2 linked regions of the Arabidopsis thaliana genome follow. The protein of the gene in region 2 interacts with the protein of the main gene of each other region in a pairwise test. Each region holds a gene or a part of one and is shown on either strand. Other genes may lie near its edges.

Region 1 (3,756 bases), 5.4 Mb from region 2:
ACCCTTGGCTGTCTGAGTAAATCCTTTTTCGCCCACTATAATGAAAGTTTTTGTTTTGGTGTTCCCTTTGAATTGCCTATGATGATAAAAACAATTATCTTAGCGGATTTCAGTGAGGTTTTTTTAAAATCAATGATCTGAATTGTTACACACACTGAGGCTTTATTAGTTTGATTTGTTTTTGTTTATTGGGGAAATTTGGTTTGCGATGATGATAAAATAGCACGAAGGTGCGTGAAGGGCAGTGGACAAAGCAATGAAAATTTGTTTTGCCGTGAGCTCTCTTTAATAAACGACTTCTCCTTCCACTGAGCATTTTTTAGATCTTCCCTAAATCTTTGTGTTTGTTATTATTGTTGTTAATAATGAATGGCGTCTTTTACCAATTCTGAAGGATTAAATATGGTTCCTTTAGGTATAATGGCATTGACGCAATATTGATTGTGGTATATCCTGATCATTTGGCTTTTTTTTCTATGTTATTTGATCCTGGAAATGCCTCACACATTTGTTCTATCTTCTTTTTCATTATTTACGAATTGGGTTTCCTCTGAATTTACGATGAGGTTTGTTGGTTGAATATAAAGTTGTTGGAGCGAGATGGATTGTTTGGAGTGCAATGATGTTTTCTTTTCTCAGATTTGGTTTTTCTAACTGAAATTGATGATTGTTCTGTTTTATTATTCGATTAAGACCGTCTCCAATATTAATCCCTATTTTTTCGTTGGAGATGCTCTTGCTTCTTCCTGTTTTAGTTGTCAAAAGTCTTATGATTGTTAATCATTTGATTAAAGACATTCGCATACAATTCTGTTATCAATAATGAGAAGGAAAATGTGATGATTTAACATACGGAACAATTATGGTTGCTGTCATTACTTATACGAGTTCGATGTTGAGAATTGTTGGTGGATAATTTGTGTTGCCTTCTTGATTTCCTGCGTTGAAACAAAAAGGTTGCCACATTTTGCTGGATGAAGAATTGTTGGTTCTGTGTGATGTTGTTTATGTGATCTTCAGGTGTGATCTTACATGAGAGACTAAAAAGAGAGCAACGGGTTTGGTTTGAGTTTGTTTAGGTCAAACCATCAGAGAGACATTACGAGATATCGTATCATACCCTTGGGCCAATTCTGCAATATGCGTTGGAGTTTTGTTAATCTTGATCATACCTTTCATATGCCTATTATCGGCTTTATTGACTTAGTTGTATCACTTGGTCCTATACTCCTTGTTCCCTTTCTCTGATAAGTCTATGACTTCGCTGTTATGATCATTGCGTTTGGTTTTTGTCGTCCCTGTTTGTAAATTTGCCAAGATTGAAAATGTAATTTCGAAGAACCAAAATTGTATCACAAGGCAAATATTTTATATACTTCTAACTCTCCCAAAATATCGAGCATTATCTTAATATCTTTACTATGTCAACTTTTGGCAAAACTTTATTAGAAATCTGAAAATAAAACTCACAAGATTAATTATTTTTCAGAAAAGAGAAACTAATATATAGGACTTACCTATATTAATTGTTTAGAGATATTCATACTCCATTTACTTGAACTTTTTTATTAAGTGTTCAGATTATGTTCCATCTCTTGTATTTTATTGCTTTTTTCTCTACACATAAGAACCTTTCAGTTTCCATTTATGAAGATTTATAAAATGGTACAGATACTTTAGTAAAATGTTGTATCATTATATGGAGAGATGTACAAATTTATATAGAGATAATATTCAGTAATTTAATTTAGACAGATCATACAAATGTTAATAACAAAAAAGAAAAAGAAAAAAGACAAAACTGGAATAGAATTAGAGAACTAAATACCTCTAATTAAACCGGATTTGATGGTAGTATACAAAACCAAAATCTTGACATTTTGTTAATCCTTCGAATACATAAGGGCAAAATAGTAAAATACCAGCTCTGTTTTTACTTATTTTCTTTCTTAAAAGAAATATATAAATACGAAGGATCGATCCTTAAATTGTTTCAGCTTTCTTTTTGTTTTCATTTTCCGGTAATATCATTTTCGTCCGACTTGTTTTCTCCTCCTTGCCGTTAAGTTCCATTGAAGAAGAAGAAGAAGAAGGTGTGATTCAACGATAAACCTAGCGAGAAAACGAACCGCATAAAATCGCCATTGTAGGTTTTCGATTTTCTCAGTCTTACATAGCTCGAAATTGATGTATAACTGGTTTTTATTCATGCTCGATTCTAGAGATTTTTAGAAAATCCTATTCCAGTGAGAATCTAGAGATTTCCATTTTGAAGCGTTTCTTCTGTTTCGTATGTAGGAACGAGACGGTGGTGTTAATCTATGGTTATGGAGGTTTGCTTGACTTTTTGAGGTTGGCTTGACTTTTGAAGTTTTGATCTGAAGAAAAGAGGTTTCGTTGTAATTGGTTTATACATCATGTCTGGGTCGAGTATGTATAAGACGAAGCTTTGTATTCTGTTCAATAAGACTGGTGATTGTTCGAGGCCGAATTGTACTTTTGCTCATGGAAATGCTGAGCTTCGTCGTCCTGGCGAATCTTCTTTTACAGGTAATGTTTTCGTTTATGCATTTGAATAGGCTATTTATTCTGGTTTAAGTTTGTTAATGGTGGAAGGATTGATGAATTTATGAGTGCTTCTTTTTATTAGAGTAAAATAGAAAAGTTTTTATTTAATTAAGTCTCTTTTGCTTAGACTTTGCAAGATTTTTATATTATACTTTGATGATTCTGTGAAGTATTTTTCTTCTGAAGTTTTGTGGTTCAATGCATTTGCTTTGTGAGTATTATTCCATATTTTATGAGATTGTGTAAAACGTTTCAGCCTACAGTGTTCTGTTTGATAAACACATGGTAATGGTATCAGTATTATACTTTGCTTTGGATTTGGTTTTCTCCATATCAACTTTTACTGACTAGTTTTGTCCTGCGGAATCATTCTGGAATATGCAGAAAGATAGCTACTCACAGGCTTAGTATTATTTTTTATCCGGGAATGGAATCTACTGGTCTTTCTGGCTGCAATTTATATTGGTTTTCTTATTGGAGTGGAATCTGCTGGGTTTTTTTGTGGTGAAATTTATCTTGGTTTTCTTATTGCTCTTGAAAGCACATTCTTTATGAAGAAAATCTATCATGGGTTTTGCGGGGTACTTATTCTTCGACAACTATGGTTTTCAGACTCCCGAGATTTGGTTGCAAGCAATGCTTGTTATTAGGATTTATCAATGCCTGTTGTTATTACTTCTGGCATTTTCATACTTCCAGTTATGTATGTGGAGCACGTGGTATTTTCTGTGATTATTTATATCTTCAATGGTCTTTCAAGCGGTTTCTTGGATCAAGAAATATGCAGTTTATGGGGGTTTGATTGTCAGTATATCAAATTTGGTGGATTTTGATTGTGTAATTAAATGGAACTTCAAGATTGGTTCTTATTTTCTCTCGTCCAACATAATCTGAAGCCTTCTCAACCTATGATTTATCAATGAGATTCAGTGACTCCACTTATTTAGTACCCAATTGTGGTTTCTTTCCAACTGCTGGTAAGAAGAGGACATTATATTGTGGTCTCTTTGAACTGGGAAGTAATCACCATTACGTTTTTCTTTATGTTACTAGTAGTTTTCTGTGATCTTATCCAAGTGTTGTTGACTGGCATGATTCTGATTGTTTGAAATGGAGTTCACATCTGTAGCACAAGTATGCTTTACTGCAAAGTCTGTTTCGTCTACTGCAGGAAGACGTCACAATATG
Region 2 (3,756 bases):
CATCATGTTTAAAACCCCAAAACAAAATCCAATTGCAAACACCGGTTTCTCAATGTACATCTCTCAAAAAAACATAGTAAACGACTGTACATAATGAAAATGGGAACTCTTTCTATGAACCATCGAAGACTCCAAGTATTCTATTACACTGGTTAGGGAGTTGAAAAGAAGTAAACCATAATGTGTCAAATCCGATCCAACATCAATTCCGTTAGCGCTTAAGAAGTCTTTTTGCATCTGCAATATCCTGCAATATAACAATAGCACCAAAACAAACTAGTACATAATCAACATTAACAACAGCTAGGAGCAAAAGCACTAGTCAAGAACTTAATTTAACCTTAATTAACAATTCGAGTTAACAAAGAAAGAAAAGAGTACTGAAAGTACCCGCTGCAGAAAAACTGCTTCTTTAGGAGAGGTAGGGAACTGCACTAAACCGATTCCAACAATTAATAGCAAAGGACACTACAACGTATATAGGTAGCTGGTGCAAAGATATACATTATTAATATTGACTAACTGAGAATAGCAATAAGCAAAAATGAGCACAACAGACTCATTACTAACCAACTATGTTTGGCTACGAGCCATAATTGCAGCCTGCAAGAGAGCAAACTAAAAGGCAGAGACAGCTACCAGCAGGCTCAAAATCTTGACCACATGCTTCATTGTCCTTGAAACAAAGTTTATGTAAGATTTGAGTATTGACAATATACCAGAAAAGAGGACTACACTAATGCATTTTCCGATTTCTTGCATATTTGGAGCTGACCATGAACGGGTGCCATTAAAGGATATCTATAGAAGTGAATTCCTTCAAATAACAAATTGCCAATTCTAAATCCATTACGCATAATTTCCACACATCTTAAGCAACTTATGTCCAGACCAGAATCTAGCATAGTCATGATAACTAAAAGAACAGTAAAATGCAACCCAAACCATCAAAATGGGAAAGGAAAAAAAAACGACTTTTCACATTTTCTTGGATCTCATAATACAAGCGGTCAGGAGCTCAAAGCCCTTTAAGCATAATTTGTAGAACCTGAATCTTAAAAAAAAAAAGAAACACAAATACATGATTTCCCACCGTTCCTCAGGATTTTAAACATTCTATAGTCAGATCCTCAGGAAATCAAAGCCATTACACAACACATTTCAGAACATTATAGGCTAAATGATTTGAAAACTTGAATCCTAAAATTCATTAAGCTGCCCCAAAACCAAGCTTCTACTAACAAAACAAACTACAATTAACCATCCGAATCAAACCATGCACCCAAAACTCGAATTGAAATTTGATATATCTAACAATGATTGAGCTGCCATCAGAATGAATTATTAGAAAATAATTTTGTCACGGTTCCTTCAGACCAGAGTAAACTCCAATCATCCGAAACTCAAAACCCTTGCGCAAAATTTTCAATCATCATTTGGCAACTTATTCAATCAAACCAACAACGAAAATAAACAAAAGGTTACATAAAACTAACCAAGCCTATGTTCTAAAGCAAACGAAATCAAAAAATTCAAACAATCAATAAGATGCTCCACTATTTGCGGGAGAGATGGAACCTTTAAGCTCACAGATCTCGCCGCCATTCTCAATGTTTCTTCGGCTGTTTTAAATAGTTGTGTCATTAGGGTTTTTATTCAGGTCTTAAAATCATGGGTATAATCGTCAATTTCACAAAATAAGCCTTTGTCCTGGATAAGCTAAACCAGTTTCCAAACAAATCTTGCTTCGATTCACAAATTATTACGATTGCAATCCCTAATTTGGAAGTCCCGGTTCCTCTTTCGATCAAATCGGAGAATTTCACGGCATGGCTACGGCTGTTGGTGGCGGAAGCGATGTGGAGGTTGGATTTGCGAAGCTTCAAGGTGAGGATTTCGAGTACTATATGCAGTCTTACTCCATTATACTCGGCCGGAATTCTAAGAAAGCCACCGTCGACGTTGATCTCTCATCCCTCGGCGGTGGGATGAACATCTCGCGCAACCACGCTCGGATCTTCTATGACTTCACTAGACGACGCTTCTCTCTCGAGGTCCTTGGCAAAAATGGCTGCCTCGTTGAAGGTGTTCTTCATCTCCCTGGGAATCCTAACGTCAAGCTCGATTCACAAGACCTTTTGCAGATCGGAGACAAAGAGTTCTACTTTCTCCTACCGGTTCGGAGCATCTTAGGCGGGCCGTTGGGACCTAGGCACCACGTCTCTGGGCAAACAAGTGTTGTTCCATACCATAATTATCAGTCGGGTCCAGGTTCTGGGTCGGGTAAGAAGGGCGTCAGGAGTAGAGAGTTGTATGAGTACGATGATGAAGATGATGATGACGACGACGATGAGGAGGACGATATGAGAGGAAGTGGAAAGAAAACAAGGAGAGATGGACATGAAGTAGTATATGCTTCCGGAGGTAAAACCAGATTGCTCATGATTGTTTGAGTTTTCATTGTGCAACTAGATATGTTTCAGATTATGATGCTTACTTGATCACATCAGGCTTGTTTCTTTAGACTTTGATTGTGGTGGTTGCTGATTGAACCTTGTTAGACTTGGATTGAATTTGAATGCTAGTGACACCACGACATTGTATCTGCTTCATTTGTGCAGAGAAGAAGAGAGAGGGAAGATCAAAGGTAGATCGTGAAGCTGATGATCAACAATTTTTGCAGCTGGAGGAAAAAGATGTTGTATCGTCTGTTGCCACTGTGCTTTCCGATTTGTGTGGTCCGGGAGAGTGGATGCCTATGGAAAAACTTCATTCGGTGGTTAGTTTTTATGAGAAAGTTCCTTGCCTTTTTCTAATACAGAATGTAGTACGAGTAATCAATTGAAACAAGACTTGTATAATGTCAAGGTGATAATTAGTGTGAAGCTAGGTCCTTAATTAGTTTTCCAATGGAAACGCGCTACGCTACTTATATGTGTCTAAGTCTAGAAAGTATGTCAGTTACTCCATAGATTTTGAATGACTAGTGTAGTCTGACTATGAACTTCTTTGTGATTCAATATGATGGCTAATGCATGGTAGTGGTTGGTCTGTGACAGATATTAAAGGAGTATGGAAACGTATGGCATCACAGTCGAGTAAGAAGATACCTATCACAAGAAGACTGGGCTATCCCTGAAGCAAAAGGTAAACCATGGTACGGTTTGCTGATGCTGCTGAGAAAATACCCGGAGCATTTCGTCATCAACACGAGATCAAAGGGAAGAGTTACCCTTGAATTCGTTTCCCTCGTTACCCTACTCTCATGAGAACTTTACCTTAGTGACTCGGATTAAGATTTAAGAAGCTTTTCTCTCTTTTCTTTGTTTCATATGTAAAATATTTTGGCATTGATTAGTAACACGCTGTGTCGTTTTTCTGCACCCAAAAACGCCAACTTCTTGGTCCTTGCAGTTGAGAGATTTTGATTTTCTTTTTCTTGATTCTTATTTTTGATAAACCCATCGAGATTTTTCTTTCATCAAAGGGCAAAAAATTCGTGCCAATTCAGAAATCGTTATGTTCGGTGGATTTGGGCCATAAAAAGAGAAAAGGCCGAAACAGAGAATGATCCAAAGTGGCTCAAGTACGTATCCAGACAATATAAAAAGGTTGGAATGTGCAAACTTAGGGTTATACTCGTATCTTGTAGCAGCCACTAAAGCAAAATTCTGAGATCGAAAAAGCTATATAAAAAAAAAAAACTGCTTCCGTTTCATCGATTTTGTCCAGATCTTCCCCTTCTTCCGGTAATCG

The links.
Region 1: the proteins of FHA2 (region 2) and AT3G21810 interact in binary tests that used the Arabidopsis thaliana proteins (3 or more experiments, as listed by UniProt).

Annotation. Positions count from the first base shown.
Region 1 is NC_003074.8:7,682,435-7,686,190, forward strand, and holds the start of AT3G21810 (Zinc finger C-x8-C-x5-C-x3-H type family protein), read left to right. Parts: upstream 1-1,921; 5' UTR 1,922-2,146; intron 2,147-2,298; 5' UTR 2,299-2,417; coding exon 2,418-2,550; exon of another isoform or gene 2,551-3,678; coding exon of another isoform or gene 3,679-3,739; coding exon 3,740-3,756.
Region 2 is NC_003074.8:2,296,139-2,299,894, forward strand, and holds FHA2 (SMAD/FHA domain-containing protein), read left to right. Parts: upstream 1-1,747; 5' UTR 1,748-1,829; coding exon 1,830-2,424; intron 2,425-2,621; coding exon 2,622-2,779; intron 2,780-3,059; coding exon 3,060-3,269; 3' UTR 3,270-3,434; downstream 3,435-3,756. UniProt on the Arabidopsis thaliana protein: May play a role in the control of plant organ development and specifically in the regulation of stamen development. Does not show transactivation activity in yeast.